Astyanax mexicanus: one gene and its partners. The protein of the gene in region 1 binds, or shares a complex with, the protein of each later gene. Links are inferred from orthologs where the notes say so. Each region holds a gene or a part of one and is shown in the gene's direction. Other genes may lie near its edges. The genes, in order: exosc8, exosc1 and exosc6.

What was found.
Region 2: exosc8 (region 1) and exosc1 share a complex: the UniProt entries of both Homo sapiens proteins name them as parts of the RNA exosome core complex. The link is inferred for Astyanax mexicanus from reciprocal best matches to the Homo sapiens genes EXOSC8 and EXOSC1.
Region 3: exosc8 (region 1) and exosc6 share a complex: the UniProt entries of both Homo sapiens proteins name them as parts of the RNA exosome core complex. The link is inferred for Astyanax mexicanus from reciprocal best matches to the Homo sapiens genes EXOSC8 and EXOSC6.

The regions. Positions count from the first base shown.
Region 1 is NC_064427.1:39,561,081-39,568,413, forward strand, and holds the start of exosc8 (exosome complex component RRP43), read left to right. Parts: upstream 1-4,322; 5' UTR 4,323-4,392; coding exon 4,393-4,409; intron 4,410-4,684; coding exon 4,685-4,721; intron 4,722-5,426; coding exon 5,427-5,490; intron 5,491-6,136; coding exon 6,137-6,210; intron 6,211-6,299; coding exon 6,300-6,345; intron 6,346-6,432; coding exon 6,433-6,538; intron 6,539-7,333. Other genes in the region: alg5 (dolichyl-phosphate beta-glucosyltransferase), read right to left, coding at 318-486, 2,362-2,442. UniProt on the Homo sapiens protein: Non-catalytic component of the RNA exosome complex which has 3'->5' exoribonuclease activity and participates in a multitude of cellular RNA processing and degradation events.
Region 2 is NC_064428.1:35,417,273-35,425,201, reverse strand, and holds the start of exosc1 (exosome complex component CSL4), read left to right. Parts: upstream 1-4,901; 5' UTR 4,902-4,973; coding exon 4,974-5,001; intron 5,002-6,970; coding exon 6,971-7,086; intron 7,087-7,929. Other genes in the region: pgam1b (phosphoglycerate mutase 1b), read left to right, coding at 168-306, 1,138-1,412, 1,623-1,803, 2,215-2,384. UniProt on the Homo sapiens protein: Non-catalytic component of the RNA exosome complex which has 3'->5' exoribonuclease activity and participates in a multitude of cellular RNA processing and degradation events.
Region 3 is NW_026040053.1:744,105-750,080, forward strand, and holds exosc6 (exosome complex component MTR3), read left to right. Parts: upstream 1-4,039; 5' UTR 4,040-4,294; coding exon 4,295-5,110; 3' UTR 5,111-5,446; downstream 5,447-5,976. Other genes in the region: slc38a8b (putative sodium-coupled neutral amino acid transporter 8), read right to left, coding at 790-987. UniProt on the Homo sapiens protein: Non-catalytic component of the RNA exosome complex which has 3'->5' exoribonuclease activity and participates in a multitude of cellular RNA processing and degradation events.

The DNA.
Region 1 (7,333 bases):
ACTAACTTTATCTGAGAGAAAGATGCTCCTTAAGGTACCAAAACTATTAACATATTTGAGGCTAGACAAAACAACTGTTATTTTTATATTTTCTTTAAGTTTTTCTTTAAGGAGATGAGAATGTCCACATTCTCTGGAGAAAGAGCTGCTCTTTGAGCTACAGTGTGCTACACCGTTTGTGGGAGGGATCGTTGATCCTCTTTTTGACTTCGATGTGCGAGACCATGACATAATTTCGATCGATTTCAATGAAATATTGAAATCGTGACACCCCTAAAAAAATACAGATAAGAAAGATATAGTAATAAACAGCTTACATCTGGACTCCTCGTTGTAGGACGGCACTACTACAGACAGCTCTCTTGAATGGGGGTCAAACAGACTAGGGAATGGCTCCTTGTTTCCTGAAGCTGTCAGAAAATATTTCTCCTGCTCTGCACGCGTCTGGTCCACCATGCTGGCTGTAACGTGGGCAATTACAATAACCTAAAGAAGAGGAGACAAATGAGATAGCTGAACCCAGCAGACACACTTCAGCAGAGCTTCAGCAAAGTATTACAAGATCTATATTAAGCTGCAGGGCTGGAGTTGAATAAAACTCCCCTAATAATAACCAGAAATGGGTGGAGTAGCCAGCGTATTGTTCCTTCAGTAATATAATGACAGGTGTTGAGTTCCCAACAGAACTGCAGTTAAAACAGCTTCATGAAAAATAAGTATACCATGGTTTCTTCTGAAATCTAGGGTAGTTAAATCTGAGATGACCCTGCTTTTGCTGGAATAACTGTCTCTAAACTCCAGATAATGCTTTTCATTTGATTTTAAGAAACCGCAGAAAAGATTTTATTTAGTCACAAAAGCATCATTAAATACAGTATGTATTTAATTTAATTACCCCACCTCATTTCACTCTTTTGCACATCTGTGTCAGCAAGGGTGGCAGCCTAAAGCAGCTGCATATATTTACTAGAAAGGGCGTCTCAAACATTTGGACATACAGATCCCTGTGTACAGCTCCCAAATCTTCTGGATTAATACAAAAGCCACTGTCTGACGAATTCCTGGAGGATTATAAAGGATTTCACCAAACCAAGACGCTGCCAGTAGTAGAAAACATGAAAACCAGGAACAGCCAGTTCTGAGGCGGCTTCTTCCCCCAGGCCATCAGGCTGCTGAACAGCCTGTAATAAAGTGTACCAGTCCACAGCCTATCACAGCTCATCTCACCTCTCTCACTGCTGCTCACCACAGACTCACTCTACACCCTGCACTTTACCTACAGTCCCACCAATACTTCTCCATCATCCAGAATACATACATCTGGAAATTTTTATCATGTTTTACTACACCCAGTAAATTTTTCACCAGAGTAATTGCATCAGCAGAGGCAGATTTTGCTATTGAAGTGCAAACAAGACTTTTTCACACTCTGTAATGAATGGATAGTTCGGTCTGTATTCTTTAAGTTCGATATGATTATAGTGGATACGATAAGAAGAAATATATCAATATATTGTCTAGCTTTACACTAAAAATAGAGGATCCTTCATCAATACAGTAAGGTGAGATTCATTCTCCTGAGATACAGCTCTGGCAAAAATTAAGAGAGCACTCCAGTTTCTGAATCAATTTCTCTGATTTTGCTATTTATAGGTTTATGTTTGAGTAAAATGAACATTGTTGTTTTATTCTATAAACTACAGACAACATTTCTCCCAAATTCCAAATAAAAATATTCTCATTTAGAGCACTTATTTACAGAAAATGAGAAATGACTGAAAAAACAAAAAAAAGATGCAGAACTTTCAGACCTCAAATAATGCAAAGAAAACAAGTTCATATTCATAAAGTTTTAAGAGTTCAGATTTTTTTTTTTTTTGTGGAAAACCCCTAGTTTCTTATAACAGTTTTCATGCATCTTGGCATCATGTTCTCATCCTCCACCAGTCTTACACACTGCTTTTGGATAACTTTATGCTGCTTTACTCCTGGTGCAAAATTCAAACAAGCAGTTCAGTTTGGTGGTTTGATGGTTTGTGATCATCCATCTTCCTCTTGATTATATTCCAGAGGAATATATTTCAATTTGTTAATATTAAAGAAAATCAATTCTAAGTGGTCTCTTAATTTTTTCCTGAGGTTATATCAGTCTAAATTGACTAAAAACAACAACTTTACAACGGGGATTGAGAAAAAACATAACTTTAATTGTAGAAAGATTTGTTTAGATCAGGACATTGACTAAATATAAATAAATATCTCAGCCAGAGTAAAAAATAGAGATCAGTGATCCAGGCAGAGGAGCTCCAGGCCCTCAGATTCTGTAAAATTTTGACAGAAACACCAAAACATTAAACTCACCAGGAGTAAGAGGAGCAGGAGCAGAGCTGCAGCGACCTGGAGGATCTGACACACACACTGATCCATCATCATCACCATCATCCTCTTCCTCTCACAGCCCAGAGACACCCCGCAACTACAGCCCGCTCATAGGGGGGAGTGAACAGGAGTTATAACCGGTATTAAAACGCCATGGCTGAAGTTCTTCCACCTCACAGTGAAACAGCACTGCGGAAATGACCCGCCGCTGCTCCACATCATCATTACAGCACACCGCCACAGCTGCTGCACCCCGAGCATGCGCACTTCACACCGCCATGATACAGGAGAAATCACCCCCCACCGATAGAGGGAGCCCGCGAGCGAGTCCTCAATGACTGGGAGTGAGTGAAGCTAAAAGGATAAAAACTAGCTGTATCTGTGTATCAGTGTCTAAAACTTGTTTAAAAATTATAACAATGTAATTCTCATAAAGAAATTTAAACTTAACTGTATAATAATAATTATTATTATTATTATTATTATTATTTTTACAGCAATTACTGTAGAAGTGTTCTTTAAGCACCACACTTATGTAACGTTAGACGTCCTAAAGTATGCATCATTTCTTTGTACTTAAAAGTAGTTTATTCTAATTTTACAACTCAAGTTCTGAAAGTAAATGTATTATATGTTATGCAGCTATTTATTACAGAAAGCAGTGAAAAGGTTTATTATCATATTGTAGGCAGTAGGGGTGGGCAATATTATATCATATACAATATATCGTGACACAGAAATATCATGATATTAAAAATGCATATCGTGATAATAGGGCTGTTCTGTCTTAAAAGTAGTCTATTATTTACTGTGAAGCTTTAGGTGTATTTATTGTATAATTGTTTTAGTTTGCAGTTTATATGCATGCACTAAATATTCTGCAATATTTTTGCTGCATTATATTATTTTATGCTATATTATTTATTTTGCCACATTATGATTATACTGTTATACTATTATACTATATTCCTGAAATGAATTAATTATTTTAGTTTTCCTATATCGCCAAGTATATCGTTATCGCAAAAATACCCTGAAATATCGTGATATTATTTTAGAGCCATATCACCCACCCCTAGTAGGCAGAAAGCACGAGGAAGCAGAGTAAAAGGCAGAACCGGAGCATCGAAGTCTTCTGATATGAAGATGACACTGCCATCTCCTCTTGTCGTTTATCACTGTCTCTTTGCTGTGAAGATGCTTGAAGTTAAGGAAGAAGACACCGCAGACACTGCCTTACGTGTAATAGACAATATCAACAATATCTTCAAGGCGGTCCAAGGCTAGGCCAGCCCTGAAGAGAGAAGTTGTTCAATTCTGATGTTCCTGCTCTCTCTTCTCCCCAGTTTTGGGGACCTGCTTAAATAGGGTATTATAGTATACATCTGTAAACACTGTAAACATGCTCTAGACATACACAGCCATAGGAGGAGTCTACCTAGAAGAATGGTCACATACTTTAGTGAAGAGAAATAAAGAGAATATATATATATATAAGCTGAAAATGTAGAGGTAACGCAGTTGAACACAATAGACAGTGACACCAAGTTGATAAAGTGCATAAAGTGAGGATAACTGAAAAAGCAAATAGACAGTTGTATAATTACTTTAGCAGTGCAAAAGATACGTAAACAGTAGATGAGTGAACTAGTGAATAAACAAGTTCTGCAAAATAGGGTAGAACTATGAAAATAGTTTAAATGGTTTTGTGTTAAGGAAATGAGAAACGTGAACAGTATTAAAAGAAAAACACTGATAAACTCTGATAAATTCTGATTTTGCTCAGCTGCTCCATATGAACACATTAATTTTGGAATCACTCTAGAGGGCCCTGTGGAAGAGACTCTGAAGTGGCCCCTCTCCTCTCTACAGGCTCTCTGATTACAGCACACGCCTCCAGACCGGCCCCGGTCCGGGGGAGGATTCTCAGCGCGCCCCCTGCTGGACTGGAAGACCCGCGTCCCCTTCTTCTGACGTCATCCGCCCTCTTCACGTGGTGTTTTCCTCAGCATCATGGCGGCGGGGTTCAAGTAAGTGGAGCGGACTGGAACTTACAGTTATATCAGCAGCAGCGGCGTGCTTTATTTATATAGTTATATCAGCAGAGTGCTGAATTTCTGTTAATATTACAGCTTAGGCTAAATATATAGAGAGTATATCTGGAGTATCACAGCTGACTGATCTCTCTTAATGTTGTACACGAGCTAATCTGTCCCTGTACTTGTTATTGTACTGCTCTTTTACTAAATAAACCAGATAGTGTTAATTATAAAACTGTCTAAATAAATTTAATGTGTTTTATCAGAACTGCAGAGCCTCTGGAGTATCACAGGAGCTTCTTGGTAAGTTTAACTACTTTATTTACTTCAGTACATCTACATGTACTCTACAAGACATGATCCAGTGTAGACACGTCCAGTTTTCTTTTTAAATCAGAGGTTATTAATAAAGATCTGTCCACAGTTTGCTGTACTAAACCGACTCTACTCTACTAAAAAAGGCCTGAGGTTGCAGTAAACAGGAACATAGCTGTGAGGAATTGATTGCATTCAGACATAACAATGTGCAGCATGTGAGACGTTTCAGGAACAGATTCGTTCACATTACAGTCAATATATCTCAGCCTCCCCCAGACTAAACTTCAGTTTGTTCTGGCCAAATCGTTATGCCTTAAGTGGTGTACATCACTATGATCACCCTGACCTAGGATGATGACTGGTCTTAACTTTTTTGAGGAGACTGCTCTAATCTTAAAACAGATGCCATATATCTCCTATACCATTTATATCTCAGATAGCCCATACAATACTGATTTAAATGTTTACTTTTCATTCAGAGAAGAGGTCTTGTCAGACCATAAAGTTTTAACCATGGTTCCATATGAGTCACTCAGAAGAATTAACCAAATATCATAAAATAAAACTGGAAAACATAGTGATCATGTTAGATATTGATTAAGATAAAATACTGATTTTATCAGTACTTTACTTTTGGAGATGTGGTGTATTTCGCTGTAGATTCACACAGTCCTGCTTCTCTTCATATAGAAAGAAAACTGCAGGCCAGATGGCAGAGAACTGGGAGAGTTCAGACCCACAACGTTAAATATAGGTAAGCTGTTGCGCATTGTTATAAATGTATGACTTGTATTCTGTTTTGGTGTATAAAGTGGATTGCAAAAGTATTCATACCCCTTGAACTTTTTTACATTTCACCGTAAAACTACACACTTTTTTTTATTAAGATTTTAAATGATAGACTGAAGAGAGACTATAAAGGAGATTCACCTTCCAGCAAGACAATGACCCCAAACATACAGCCAGAGCTACAGTGGAATTATTTAAATCAAAGAATATTCATGTGTTAGAATGGCCCAGTCAAAGTCCTGACCTAAATACTGCTGTTCACAAACGCTTTTCATCCAACCTGACTGATCTTCAGCTGTTTTACAAAGAAAAATGGGTAAAAATCTCAGTCTCTAGATGTGCAAAGCTCAAAGCTGGTCAAGACATGCCCAAAAGAAAGGTGGTGGCTCCACTAAGTATTGATAGGGGGGGCTGAATACTTGCATGTCACTTTTTTGCAGATGTCTTTTTGATTAAAATTTTAAAAACTATGTATTAATTTTATTACACTTCAGTTATTTGCTACTGTGTGGTTCAATCACTTAAAACCTCAATAATATACATTTATGTGTGAAAAGGTTGTGATGAATGTAAGATCTTAACTTTACATCCTGAAAATCCTTTATATGCAGGTTCGATTGGAACAGCTGATGGTTCAGCAATGGTGAAAATTGGAAACACTACAGTGATCTGTGGCATAAAAGCAGTAAGCAGCATCCCGCACTCCCTCAAATACTCACATATTGATCACAAATAAACATAACAAACACTTCAAAACTTCATGTTTTAAAACAGGAACTAGCCGCGCCGCCCTCAGATGCTCCTGATAAAGGATATATTGGTATGTTTGAGTGAGTTGTTATAATAATTATTAAAGGCAATCGTCTGTGAGGGTAACTGAAGTCTGACTGGCTCTTTCGTGTCTCAGTTCCGAATGTAGACCTGCCTCCACTCTGCTCGTCCAGATTTCGGCCGGGGCCACCAGGAGAGCAGGCGCAGGCCGCCAGCCAGTTCATCGCTGACGTCATTGATGGGTGAGATGAGTTTCTTTGTGTCAGTGACTCTAATTGGGACTTTGTGGTCAGATTCTTAAAGCTTTGTGAAGGTTAAAAACTATACTAATGGTTTTATGACACCATTTTCTCCCCAATTTACGCGGCCAATTACCCAACCCACTCATTAGGACTCCCCCCTATCACTAGTGATGACCCAACACACCAGGAGGGTGAAGACTAACACATGCTTCCTCTGATACATGTGAAGTCAGACACCGCTTCTTTTCGAGCTGCTGCTGATGATGTAGCATTAACGAGCAGCATCACAGCGCTAACACTCGGAGGAAAGCACAGCGACTCGGATCTGATACATCAGCTCACAGACGCCCTGTGCTGCAGACATCACCCTAGGAGTGATGTGGGGAGAGAGCGCCATCTACTGTACTGTACCCACCCGGAGGGAGCAGGGCCAATTGTGCTCCCTCTCAGCGCCGGCAGCTTGATGGTAAAGCTGCATGAGTGGGGGTTCGAACCCACGACCTCCCGCTCATAGTGGCAGCGCTTTAGACCGCTGGACCACTTGGCACCCCTTCCCAGTGAGTTTTGGAGAAAGTTTTTGGATGCAAAACACTAAAACTTAAAGGGAAGGTGGAACATCAGCAGTGAAGTCATTACCAATTAACACAGAGGTTCACTTACTTTTTCTAGCCTGCACAGTGGATGTTTACTCTGTGTGCTAAGGCTACGTTCACATTATAAGCCACACTGCTGAAATCAGATTTTCTGCTCAGACTGAATTTGGCTCTTTTGACAGTTCACATTCACTGTAAATGT
Region 2 (7,929 bases), on another chromosome or scaffold:
CTATTCATTTTGGTCTCGCTTGCGGGCTCCCTCTAGCACTTCGCAGTGATATTCCGGTGTGTGTGAGTGTTATTTGTGTGTGTGTGTGTGTGTGTTTGTGTATCTCCAGCAAGTCGGTGAGTGACCGGCGGCTCGTGCGCTCCTCCTGCCCGCGCTCTGAGAGCAGTATGTCCGCCTACAGGCTGGTTCTGATCCGGCACGGGGAGAGCTGCTGGAACCGGGAGAACCGATTCTGCGGCTGGTTCGATGCGGATCTCAGCGATACCGGAGCGGAGGAAGCCCGCAGAGGAGGAGAGGCGCTCAGAGGTGTGTGTACAGTGTGTGTGTGTGTGTGTGTGTGTGTGTGTGTACAGTGTGTGTGTGTACTTGTGGATGGATTAAAGATGAGGTTTGAAGCTTAGAGGCAGCTTACTAGGGACACTTTATAGCATAGCCGCCATTTATCTATGTGTCATGTTTTTGCTAATTCTATGCTAAAAAAAAAACCTCAGTCCTGTTACTTTCATTTCTGTTACTTAAAACATAACAAGTAACAGGAGTGAGTTATCGTAACAGGAGTGAGTGTCAGTAACAGGATTAAGTTCCAATATCATGAGTGAGTACAAGTAACAACAATGAGTGCCATTAACTAGAATGAGTGCCAGTAACATGAATGAGTACCTGTAACAGAAAATAAGTGCCATTAACAGGAGTGAGTTCCATTAACAGGACTGAGTGCCTGTAGCAGGAGTGAATTCCAGTGACATGAGTGAGTGCCGGTAACAGGAATGAGTGGCAGTAACAGAAGTGAGTTCCAGTAACCAGAGTGAGTTCCAGCTACAGGACCGAGTTCCAGTTACAGGAATGAGTGCCAGTAACAGGAATGAAGTTCCAGTAACAGGAGTGATTTTTATGTCATAAGCATATATTATTTGGACATTAAAGAAAATCACACTTTCGTGTAAGGTAAAAAAAGGATCCAGCTAAAATAGATCCAGATACTGTTCAGATATTAAATGCATGTTAATGTCCATGTGTAAACAGGTAGAAAATTAAGGCAATACATATTAACTTTCATTCTTTTCCATGATTTCATTCCTTCCATCCTTTTATCTCTCTCTCTCTCTCTCTCTCTTTCTCTCTCTCTCTCTGCTGTAGAGGCGGGGTATGAGTTTGATGTGTGCTACACGTCGGTACTGAAGCGTGCTATCCGGACTCTGTGGCTGGTTCTGGAGAGTATAGATCAGATGTGGCTTCCTGTGCACCGGACCTGGCGTCTGAACGAGCGGCACTACGGCGGACTAACTGGACTGAACAAGGCCGAGACTGCAGCCAAGCACGGAGAGGAGCAGGTGAAGATCTGGAGACGCTCGTACGACACGCCTCCTCCGCCCATGGAGTCCGACCACGACTTCTACTCCACCATCAGCCAGGTACAGCCTGTACAAAAATGCCTTAGAAGTATGCATTAGAATTAAATCTATTTCCACTGATCTCCATTAAGAGATAAGAATGTTTTTTCCTTCTCCTGTAAATTTTATGTTTTTAAGATTTTTACATTTTTGCATGATGAAAACAATAAATCAGAAGTTGTTAGTTTTCCATAAAATGATTTCCATCTTCTCTGGGTTCTGTGGTTACAGGACCGCCGGTACACCGACCTGACAGAGGACCAGCTGCCGGCGTGTGAGAGCCTGAAGGACACAATCGCTCGAGCCCTGCCGTTCTGGAACGAGGAGATAGTACCGCAGATCAAAGACGGGAAGAGGGTTCTGATCGCTGCCCACGGCAACAGTCTCCGTGGCATCGTGAAGCACCTGGAGGGTGAGACATTAAAGCAGATACATGTATATGATATGAACATACTCACACTCACAGTTTTTTATTTCTAAAAAAAGCTTAAAATATACACTTGTTGTTGATTCTTCACAAAAAAATTACAGTTTCATATCTTTGTGTTTGAAGCCTGAAATGTGGCAAATGGTTGAAAAGTACAAGGGGGCCGAATACTTTTGCAAGGCTGTAGGTATTGGGACGCCTGCTCATTCACAGTGTCTCATTCTGAAATCAGGGGTATTAAAACGAGTTTATCTTGATTTTGTTGGAGTAACTGTCTCTATTGTCCAGAGAAGACTTTCTAATAGATGTTGACATTGGCATCTAATAGCATTGCTGTGAGGATTTGATTGCATTAAGCAATTTGGACATTTTCTGATCTGGATCTGATTGTTTCAGGAATGTCGGAGGAGGCCATCATGGAGCTGAACCTCCCCACCGGAATCCCCATCCTGTACGAACTGGACAAGAACCTGAAACCAGTGAAGCCCATGCAGTTCCTGGGGGACGAGGAGACCGTCCGCAAGGCCATGGAGGCCGTCGCTGCTCAGGGCAAGGCCAAGAAATAGAGAGAGAGAAAGAGAGAGAGAGAGAGAGAGAGAGAGAGAGAGAGAGAGAGAGAGAGAGAGAAAGAGAATAAATAGTTCACTTTATTTATCAGCTTCTAGATTTTACACTCTATCAGCACATGCCCACTATTGTGAACAATACTGTTATAATAATTAAAAAACACAGTCTTAGGGCCCTATCATACACCCTATGCAAGGCACATGGTGATGCTTATTGCTATCTTACTCCCCATCAACTCTTAATGAGCTTCTGGTGTATCTTCACAGCGTGGATGTGCAGGTCAGTATCCTTTGCTGAGACTCACAAAAGCTCTGCGCTGTTGAGATACGAACGCGCCAAAGTCAGAGCTCACCCGACTCTTAAAGGGAATGATTACTGACACACTGATTAGAGGGAGAACATTCTAGAATAGCATTTATTTGGTTGGAGAATATTCCATAACAGTGTTAATAAGAGAAAGTCATTTTAGAGCATCATTAATTTGGAAGGAAAATAGATGTTTGTTGGGTTGGCGGGTGTTGGGTTGCCAATTGTTGTAATGCCATTTGTTGGGTTGCTGTATGTGTTGGGTTGGTATGTATTGGGGTGGCATGTTTTGGGTTGTCGTGTGTTGGGTTGGGTTGCCGTGCTTTGGATTGGCATGTGTTGGGATGACGTATGTTGGGTTGCCATTTGTTGGATTGGCATGTGTTGGGATGACGTATGTTGGGTTGCCATTTGTTGGATTGGCATGTGTTGGGATAGTGTATGTTGGGTTGCCATTTGTTGGATTGCCACTTGTTGGGTTGCCGTATGTGTTGGGTTGCCGTGTGTTGGTTTGGCATGTGTTGGGTTGGTGTGTGTTGGATTGGCGTGCATTGGGTTGGCGTGCGTTGGGTTGGCGTGTGTTGGGTTGGCGTTTGTTGGTTTGCTGATTGTGTTGAGTTGCCATTTGTTGGATTGCCACTTGTTGGGTTGCTGTATGTGTCGGATTGCCGAGTGTTGGTTTGGCATGTGTTGGGTTGGTGTGCGCTGGATTGGCCTGCATTGGGTTGGCGTGTGTTGGTTTGCTGATTGTTGAGTTGCCATTTGTTGGGTTGTAATAAATATATTACAACCCATATTTGAGTGTGCTCAGTGTGAGGACTCTGCAGGATTATTCCAGCACTGCTGCCACTGTATGAACATTAGAGTGAAAGGCACTTGGCATTGCTCTTTAGTGGCAGCTTTAGTGCCAGCCGTATCCAGGCAACGGCATTCATAGAGACGGGGCAGCGGATAAATTAGTGATTTTTATTTTTTACAGGAAGGAGACTAAATGCACGGCGTTCCAAATCACTCCATGACTCACGCTGAGCTCCGGTGTCCTACATGCCTGGACGCCCACAGTACAGCACTTAAAATACCCCCCATACACACACACACACACACACACGCACACACACACACAGCCGGAGAGATCACATGCGTTTTAGAGCTTCTGCACTGCTCGAGTCCACTAAAGATAATAAGTCTGTGTGTTCCTAATGTTCTGAGGTATTATAACATGAAACGGCTGTTTCTCCCTGTCTGATTGTAAACCTAATTTCTATTTAAAGAAAAATGAGTTGATAATATATTTATTATATGCTTGACTGAATGGCACTGTCCTCTAGTTTGTGTGCAATCACTAATAAATGTTACAAAAATCTAAAAACAATTGCACTGTTTTTTCTTTAAAGTTGGTGTCAAATATGTGTATATACAGGTGCATCTAAAAAAATAGAATATCATTGAAAATTTACTTTATTTCAGTAACTTAGTTGAAAATGTGAAACTCATATATTATATATAATGTATTACACACAGAGTGATCTATTTTAAGCGTTGATGTATTTTATTGTTGACCATTATAGCTTACAGCCAATTAAAACCCATATATCTATATAATATATGAGTTTTAAACTGAATTACTGAAATAAATAAAATAATAAAATAATGGATTTGATTTGACATTAATTATTTTACAGATATTTCATTTAAAATACAATACAGTTTGTTTGCATATGTTGCAATTATACAAGGAACAACCTTCCTCTCAAACTTCCATTTTAATGTAAAAAATAATTTAAAGGATATTATAATATTGTTTTTCAGATTAATAGAATTTAGATCCCGAATATGTAAAACATTAAATTAAATTTAATTAAATTATGCATTCTAAGGTCTGCACTTTTATAGCTTGCAACATCCTAAATATATAATTTTTTAAATCTACTCTATTTTATATTCTTTGATTTAGTATATGTTTAATTTATTATCTCCAAATATAAATATAAAAATATGTATTTTTGTCATAATATATGTATATATTAAATTAAATTAATTTACACTTATTATGTTTTGTATAATTATTATTTTTATATATATATTTTTTAATTTGATTAATTAATATATTTGTTAAAAAAAAAAACATGCACTTTTAAAAGTGAGGTCACGACTTCCAGATCTTCCACAACAAAGATGGCGCCTGGACATGACTTAGCTCACTTCCGCGTAAGCGGCCAATCACAGGCCGCGCTCTCTGCTACTACCAACCAATCAGCACGCTCCCTTCTCTTCTTGAAAACATGTCGCCCATGAAGCTGTGTGTTCCAGGTAGGCGAGTCTTTTTAGCGCGTTTAGCGCTTTATTTAGCGATAAATCAGATTATTAGCGCTTAGTTTAAAAGAGGGGGGATGCTGTGCGGGCTGTGGGCGGGGTGTGGGGTAAATATTAGGTTTTAATAAAGTTTTAAAGTGGTTTTAACGGGGAATAGGAGTGAAAACGTGCTCGATGTGTAGCAACACATGACTGCAGAACATTTAAATATGGGTTATAATTTATATATGGACTATTTTACAGCTAATAACGGGGTTTTATTGGTTATTAATAACATCAGTAGTGCAAATAACAGTAATAAGTAATAGTACCAGCAGCAGCAATAACAGTAGTACGGATAGAAGCAACCGCAGCAGTATTATTATTTTAATAATACGTCTATATGTATACAGCTCTGGAAAATATTAAGAGATCACTTCAGTTTCTGAATCAGTTTCTCAGTTTTGCTATTTATAGGTTTGTGTTTGAGTAAAAAAAAAACGTTGTTTTATTCTATAAACTACAGATAACATTTCTCCCAAATTCCGAATAAATTTATTGTCATTTAGAGCATAAATTTGCAGAAAATGGGAAATGGCTGAAATAACAAAATAGATCCAACGAAAACAAGTTCATATTCATAAAGTTTTAAGAGTTCAGAAATCAATATTTGGTGGAATAACCCTGGTTTTTAATCACAGTTTTTTTCATGCATCTTGGCATCATGTTCTCCTCCACCAGTCTTACACACTGCTTTTTGATAACTTTATGCTATTCTCTCCTGTTGCAAAAATTCAAGCAGTTCAGTTTGGTTTGATGGTTTGTGATCATCCATCTTCCTCTTGATTATATTCCAGAGGTTTTCAGTTTGGTCAAATCAAAGAAATTCATAATTGATAATGCTTAAAATAATAATAACAGCAGTAATAAGTAAAGTAGTAATAATAATAATAGGTATATAGTGCAGTATGAGTGTGTGTGTGTGTGTTGTTGACTGACTTTTACTCACTCTAACTCGTTTGGTGAGCCTGGCCCACCCCTCAGGCAAGCAGCTGCCAAACATTCCACTTTGACTTTCAGCTCCAGCTCTCTCTCCCTCGTGTTTCCCTCGTGTAAAAGCTGCTGCTGGATGTGTTTTAACATGATCACAGGCTTCACACACTTCCAGTGCCATTCTCAGGTTAACACGTTTATTAATAAGACCTGTAGTAACACTGCAGTGCCGCTGTTAGATTTGTGTTGGTTTAAGAACTCCAGCAGCACTGCTGCACTGCCTGATCCACTCACTGTACCAGCAGCACAATACACACTAACACTTTATACACCACCACCATGCTAATCAGTGCTCATCACTGCATAACTGTAAATATAGCTATATGTCCAAATATTTGTGGACACACGTTCTAATAAATGCATTTATTAGCTAGGCCAGTTTTCCCACTCATTCAGCTGTTGATGACACAACACAAAAAAGGGTAAAGACTAGCTCATGCCTCGTCTGATACATGTGAAGTCAGCCACCGCCTCTTTTCAGAGGAAAGCGCAGCTAGAGAAGACCTTCTACTATATTTTAGATTAAAGCATTGCTGTGAGGCTTGGATTGCATTGAGCCCCACAATCCAAGAGTTAGTGAGGAGGTCAGGATTTTGGGTAATTCATCTCAAAAGGATAAGTATTGGGTGGAGCTCCATCATTCCAGACTCCCAGTGCTGGTTTATGGCATGGTGCCAGTAGGTTTATGTATATGTTCTCCAGAGAGTCCTATTCTTTTTTTTTTTTATATAATTGATTTCTGATTTTTTTTTCCGTTTTCTCCCAATTTGGTCATCCAATAGTCCTATTGCATGGATTTCCAATGGGTGGAACTTTATTAAAGTATCTGAATGCATTTATTTGTATGTATTTGGGTATATAGTTAATTTTAGCTGAAAGCTTTATATATATATATATATATATGTGTGTGTGTGTGTGTGTGTGTGTGTTGCAGGTGAAAGGCTGTGCAGTACGGAGGACTGTATCCCCGGGGCAGGAACGTATCTGAGGCATGGCTACATCTTCGCCTCGCTCGCTGGATACGTGCTCAGGAGGAACGAGGGCGAGGAGGTGAGGAACCTGCAGGGATTAACGCTGGTTGCGCAATCGAGGCATGCGCCTAATATTACTGTAGCACAGTGGAGATGTATGCAAATCGGTATTGCGAAATGGTTTGGACATATTTCTGTAGGTTTGATCTCAGTCACACACCCAACCACACACACACACACACCTGTTTTAAGTATGTGGTGTGGGATGGTATGTCTGTACGTCTTCAAAATGACAGATTGCTATTAAAATATGATATTGTTAAAATGCCTTTAAACAGGCCCTAGAGTGTTTTAATCTTAGTATAGATGAATGAGAGTTCAGTACATGAAAGTGAGAAAACAGGCTGATTCCAGAATCCCAAAACTGTTACATCACAGTCCTGACAGTGTAAAAAAAAAAAAAGACTACGGATGTGTTCTTACTAGACACTCTTCTAAAGGGTCTAAAGTTCTGCCACTATGATCGGGAGATTGCTGGTTTGAATCCCGGTCATACAGCTTGCCATCAAGCTCTGCCATCAGCTGCCAGAGCCCTGAGAGAGCACAATTGGCCTTGCTCTCTCTCTGGGTGGGTACAGTAGATGGCGCTTATTCCCCTCATCACTCCAAAAGGGTGATGTCGATCAGCACAAGGCGTCTGTGAGCTGATGTATCAGAACCGAGACGCTGCGCTTTTTCTTTCAAAAAGAGTCAGAGTCTGAATTTACATACTAGTCTTTGCCCTCTTGGTTATGAGGCATCACTAGTGATGTATATCTGGCTTATCTAAATTTGGGAGAAAATTAAGAAAATAATTATAAATAAATGAGAAAATGCCCTATAAAAAGGCTCTCTGAGGCTACTTTTGAGTAGTGCACCTCTT
Region 3 (5,976 bases), on another chromosome or scaffold:
TATGTAATGAACAGATTCCTACTATAGATCTGCATCATGGTCTAATTTCAGTGGAGGCTGAATTATATTGTAAATATATTTCTCCTGTAATGATAAAGACATGTAGACTGTTTGTACATTTACCGCTTGTTTTATGTCACATTGTTTTAATGTGTTAAACCACCTATTTTTAGTTGGACAAGACATTAAAACAACCAGTAAATGTTTATATTACCAAGAAAATATAATCCTCTTTTCCTATCTGAAGATTTATCTATCATATCCTGAATTTACAAACATAAGACTTTAAATTCATTAAAAGATAAATCAACCCCAACTCCATGTATGTTTCTGTTTTTCCTATAAATATTAAACATTGCATTGCTATTGGATAATAGGATTTGTTTGGTTATAAAAAAAACTCCACCAGTTAAAATAGTTCCATTGCTGCTCTGTTTGTAGCTGTGCTGTTTGGTTTGTAAGCGCTGCATCGCTGCTAGGTTACCTGTATGTGGCGGAGTAATACATGAAGAGCTTCGGTTACAGTGCATTACCGGCTGATAACGGTACTCATAGAACGGCTCTTAGCCAATCACATCGCAGGGTCGGTACTAATGGTGGTATAATTTAAATATTCCCATTATGTTTATGTTTGTGTATGTGTATATGCACATATATGTGTGTTTGTGTGTATAGTGTGTATAGTGTGTGTGTGTGTGTGTGTGCGTGTGTCTCCTGCATTGGAGAAGTTCAGTCTGGATTGTGTGTGTGTGTGTGTATAGTGTGTATAGTGTGTGTTTGTGTGATTACCAGTTCCACGGTGATAGCTCGGTTGATGCCCCCCGCTCTCTGAAAGGCCCAGGGGAAGTTGAGCAGTCCGGCTCCGAGCGCGGATTTCAGCATGATGAACACGGCGCCGAACGAACCGAGCCGCGGAGCCTCCGTACCGCGCGCGGGTTTGGCCAGCACGCTCAGGCTGCGGATGCTCTCGCGCGCCAGTTCCTCCATAGTGACTCGCGCTCCAAACCGCACGCGCACGGAGCAGGACGGACAGCACGCGCGCACGGAGCAGAACGGACAGCACGCGCACACGGGGAAGGACAGACAGCACGCGCGCACGGGGCTCCTCTTCCTCCGTGGAGATAACGGAGATCTGACACGGCGGGTCTGAGTCTGATGGATAAGCGGCGCGAGCCCGGCGCGCGCTCCATTAAGACCCACTTTAAAATGTCTCACCTGTGTGAGACATGTAGCACAGGTATGTGAGCCCGGCGCGCGCTTTGAAGATGCCAGACCTGTGAGCACGTGCCCGCTCCGTGCCCGGGGTCACCTGACACTATAACACACCCGCGTCAACTAACTGACCACGTGCCAGAGTGTACACTATAGTGCACTATAGGGGTGATCACTCCCTGTCTCTTCTAAAACCGAGACTATTAAACACAGTTTATCCTGCTTTTATTGGAGTAACTGTCTTTACTGTCCAACTCCAACTAATAATAGATAATAAATAATATTAATAGAGTTAATAATCCAGCTGTGTGTAATTTAGTCTCAGTATAAATACAGCTGTTCTGTGAAGAGCTCAGTGGTTTATTAGTGAACACTAGTGAACAAACAGCATCATGAAGACCAAGAAGGAAGAACTCAGCAGACAGATCAGAGATAAAGTTTTGGAGAAGAAGTTTAAAGCAGAGTTAGATTATAAAAACATCTCCCAAAAACATATATTCTACTACTGTTTCAACAAACCTACAAAGACATGAACCAACCATCCACCCAAACTAACAGATCCAGCAAGGAGAGCACTGATCAGAGAAGCAGCCGAGACCCATGATCACTCTGGAGGAGCTGCAGAGATCCACAGATCAGGAGAATCTGTTCACAGAACAACTATAAGTCCTGCTCTCCACAAATCTGATCTTTATGGAAGAGTGGAAGAAGAAAAACATTGTTAAAAGAAACAAGAATTGCTGTTTGCAGTTGCAGCATATCAGAGAATCAGAGAATATTCATGTGTTAGAATGATCCAGTTAAAGTCTACAGTCTCTAGATGATTAAAGCTGGTAGAGACTAAACCCTGAAAAACCTGAAGCTGTAACTTCAGAGAAAAGTGTCTCTACTAAGTATTGATATAGGGGGATGAATACTTTTGCACGCCACCCTTTTAGATTTTTATTTGATAAAACATTCAAAAAAACATGTATCATTTTCATTTCACTTCACATGTATGCATTACTTTATGATGGTTTATCAAGTTTGTGTATTTAAGGAGAGAAAATGTGGAAAAGTTTAAAGGGTATGAATACTTTTGGAAGCCACTGTAAATATATTCTGATTTGCTTTGGAAAATTATTGTGGCTATGTGGAATGTGGCTAAATGGAGCTAAATGATAAAACATAGTAATTAACTGCTTGTCCAGGACATTCCTTTAATTTTATAAAATAAAATTAAGTATTTTAATATAAAGTAAACAGATCAGATAATAGAAGTGCAGCACTGCTTACGAGATTAATAGAGTTTATTATACTGGAGTTTAAAAGCTTTAAGATCAATTAAAACAGTACATTTAGTTCTGTGTGAGGAAACCAGCATCAGCTCACCAACAAGTCAGCTCTCTTTTACTGTGTAAAAATATAAAAATATAAATATAATATACAGGTCATTTTATTTGTTTATTTCTGGAATTTGCTGGAAAAGTAGTTTTAATACAAATTTACAGTCAGTTGAAAATGGCAACACCTGTAGAACACGGAATACAGGACATTTATTATTATTACTACAGTATTGAGAATGAAGTTGGAAGGGGCGGGGTTACAGGACAGAGTGAGCAGGTGGAGGATGTATTTAATAGAAAGCGCCTACAGAACACACAGGACTCTACAGCGCATTATATTATATAAATAATCATACTGACGGGACGTGTGTTTATCAGTGTTCTAAACACAACATAGAAAACACAGAGACTGACTGCACTACCAGAGGAAAAACTCACTCAGTTCAGTCTGAAGGTAATAAAGTTAAATACAGGTCTGTTTGAAATACTTGAGTAGTTTCTTGAAAAATGCGGGACTAATTGACAGGATTCGTTTTTTTTAATATTATCATTATTATTGTTATTATTATTACTATTGTTATTTTTATTATTTTTTGTTTGTTTTTGTTTGTTTAGTTAATTTTTTTAACCTGACGCACAGTCCAGATGATTTATAGAATAAGTCAACAAATTTTAAATTTACAGTTCACCTGGGCTCCAGCACACAGGGAAATGAGAAAACAGACGAGTGGAAAATGAAACTCAGAAATCAAAACAAGCAGAAGTACAGGTTCCAGCAAATTAGAATTAAAGCAATAATCAAACACGGGGATCATAAAATCTGGCGAGACAAATGGGATAAGGATGAGAAAAGCAGGTATTTATACAGTAAACAAGAGTAATAACAGTCAGCTAATTCAGTTCACTCCAGGATAAGATTAGGAGAACATGAGACCGGTGTTCATACTATAATAAACTGAAACCGTAAAGCGTGCGCTGTTTACATACAGGAATTACTCTAAAGAGAGAGAGAACGTCTCAAGAGGATAAGAAAGAACTACAATAACAACTTAGAGTTTAAGTGGTAGAGACTACAGTCAAAGTAATCATAGAGTTTATAAAAAACACTTGCAAGAAGACTTTAGTATGTTTTTATTATTTTATTTTATTATTGGGCATACCAGCCCAACCAAGGTTCAATATCATAGTACAATGATATAATATGTCTAATAATATTATTATATATATTAATATACAGTCTTTTTAGTTGAATATTATTTTTTGTGATTAATAGTATTTTCTGCAGTCAGAAGGAGTATGAATAATATTTTATATATGTACAGTATGTATGAGTATGTATTTTCATAGTGTGGTGTTTTTTGGCAGGAATGCTTTCTCTCCTTCCCATCTCTCTGATTGGTTGTTTCAGGGTTGTTTCCGCTGTCGGCACTAATCTCGCGAGATTAGTGACATTTCAGTTTGGAGGGGCATATAAATGTTTTTTTTGTTTTTTTTAAATATAATACAGAAAATTTACGGAAAACATTATCCGGGAGGACGGGGGGAGAGAGGGGTAAAATACGGTAGTTTTCCGGTCAAAACGGGAGAATTGACCGGTATCCCGGTGAGATTACACCTCAGTCCAGCAGGTGGCGGTAATGCGCTGAGATTGCAGTCTGCCAAAAAACAAACCCAGAAGAAGAAGAGCGGTGTTGCGTGGGTTTGTTTGTAGTCGCGCACGCGGTGGAGGAGCGCGTGAGCCCCGTGTAATAGCCAGAATGCCGGTAGATACGAAGCGCGTGCGCGGACCGGAGGAGTCTCAGTGCCCGCTGCTGTTTCTGCCCCCCGCCGCGCAGACCGCGGAGCCCCGGGAGCCGCGCGCGGGCCGCGGGAACGGAGAGGTGCGGCCGGTGTTCGCGCGCTGCGGTCTCGTGAGCCAGGCGAAGGGCTCGAGCTACCTGGAAGCGGGGAACACTAAGATCCTGTGCTCGGTTTACGGGCCGCGCGAGCCGGAGCGGCGGGACGAGGCCGGGGTGCGGAGCGGCCGCCTGCTGTGCGACCTGCGGCTCGCGCCGTTCTCCTGCGGGAAGCGCGGCGCGTGGATCCAGGGCAGCGGGGAGCGGGACCTGTCGCTCGCGCTCTCCGAGAGCCTGCACCCCGCCGTGTGCCTGCACCGGTACCCGCGCGCGCAGATCGAGGTGAACGTGATGGTTCTGGAGAATGACGGCTCGGTTCTGGCGCACGCGGTGACCTGCGCCTCCATGGCGCTCGCGGACGCCGGTATCGAGATGTACGACGTGGTCCTGGGCTCCGCGCTGCGGCAGGACGGCGGCGCGAGCCTGGTGGACCCGGACCTCGCGGAGGAGCGGGGCAACTGGCTCGCGGGCTACGAAGAGAACCGGGGCGGCGTGACGCTCGCGCTCCTGCCCAACCTGAACCAGGTGTCGGGACTGCACGCGGACGGGGAGCTGCGCGCGGACACGCTGAGCGCCGCCGTGCGCACGTGCATGGAGAGCTGCCATAAACTGTATCCGGTGGTGCAGCAGGCCATCCTGCGGGCCGTGAAGAGAAAAGCCCCGCCCCCTGAGAAATAATTCGTATATACCATAATAAACCTGTTTACACTGCAGGGTCGGAACCGGTTTATGCATCACATGACTGGCGGCAGCAATTCTTGTTGTTCACACTGTGAACCAATAGAAATGCTTCAAATAACTTTAAATAAAATGTTTTTTTTTTTTTTTTTAAACATTCCCTTCCACTGAAAGTTGTTTTGGAGATACGAGTTTTCTGTGTGAGAATAGTGAGGATGCACCGAATCAAAAATAGTTTGAATCAAAAATGGTTTATTATGTTTGTATTTTATATCACTAGAAAATAGTTTTTACATTTATGTAAAAGCTGTGTAACAATAAAATACTTAAAAAATATGTAAAAGTATTCAGACAGTCTTATTTTCTTACACCACAGGTTTCTCTTACGGCTGTTTAGCACTGTTATTATAATGTGTACATGTGCAATAGTGACATCATTAAGCATATTCTATAATGTGACATTTAAGTTTGAAATTATTTTTCCTGATTTATCTGAACCAGTTTAACCAAGGTTCTGGTTCAGGTTCTGGTTCAGGTTCTGGTTCTGGTTCAGGTTCTGGTGGGACTACAGCAAGAGTTGGGCACTAGGGGTTGGATAAAATATTGTTTGCAATACATAATTAATATAATAAAATATACGTTTATTGATGGAAACAATCTATTCTGAGCTACAAAAACATCAGCTCAGAGTTAATTCAGATTGTGTGACAGATTCATTTTAGATCTACTATAATACATTTTAATTTTTACTGCGGTGAAGAATATTGGTTGTTAAATTGTGTGAAATTTAAACACCAGTAAATGCGTAATTGCTTGTATTTGATTATTTAGGAGAATTTTATCCTCTTCAGAAACACAGATACTGT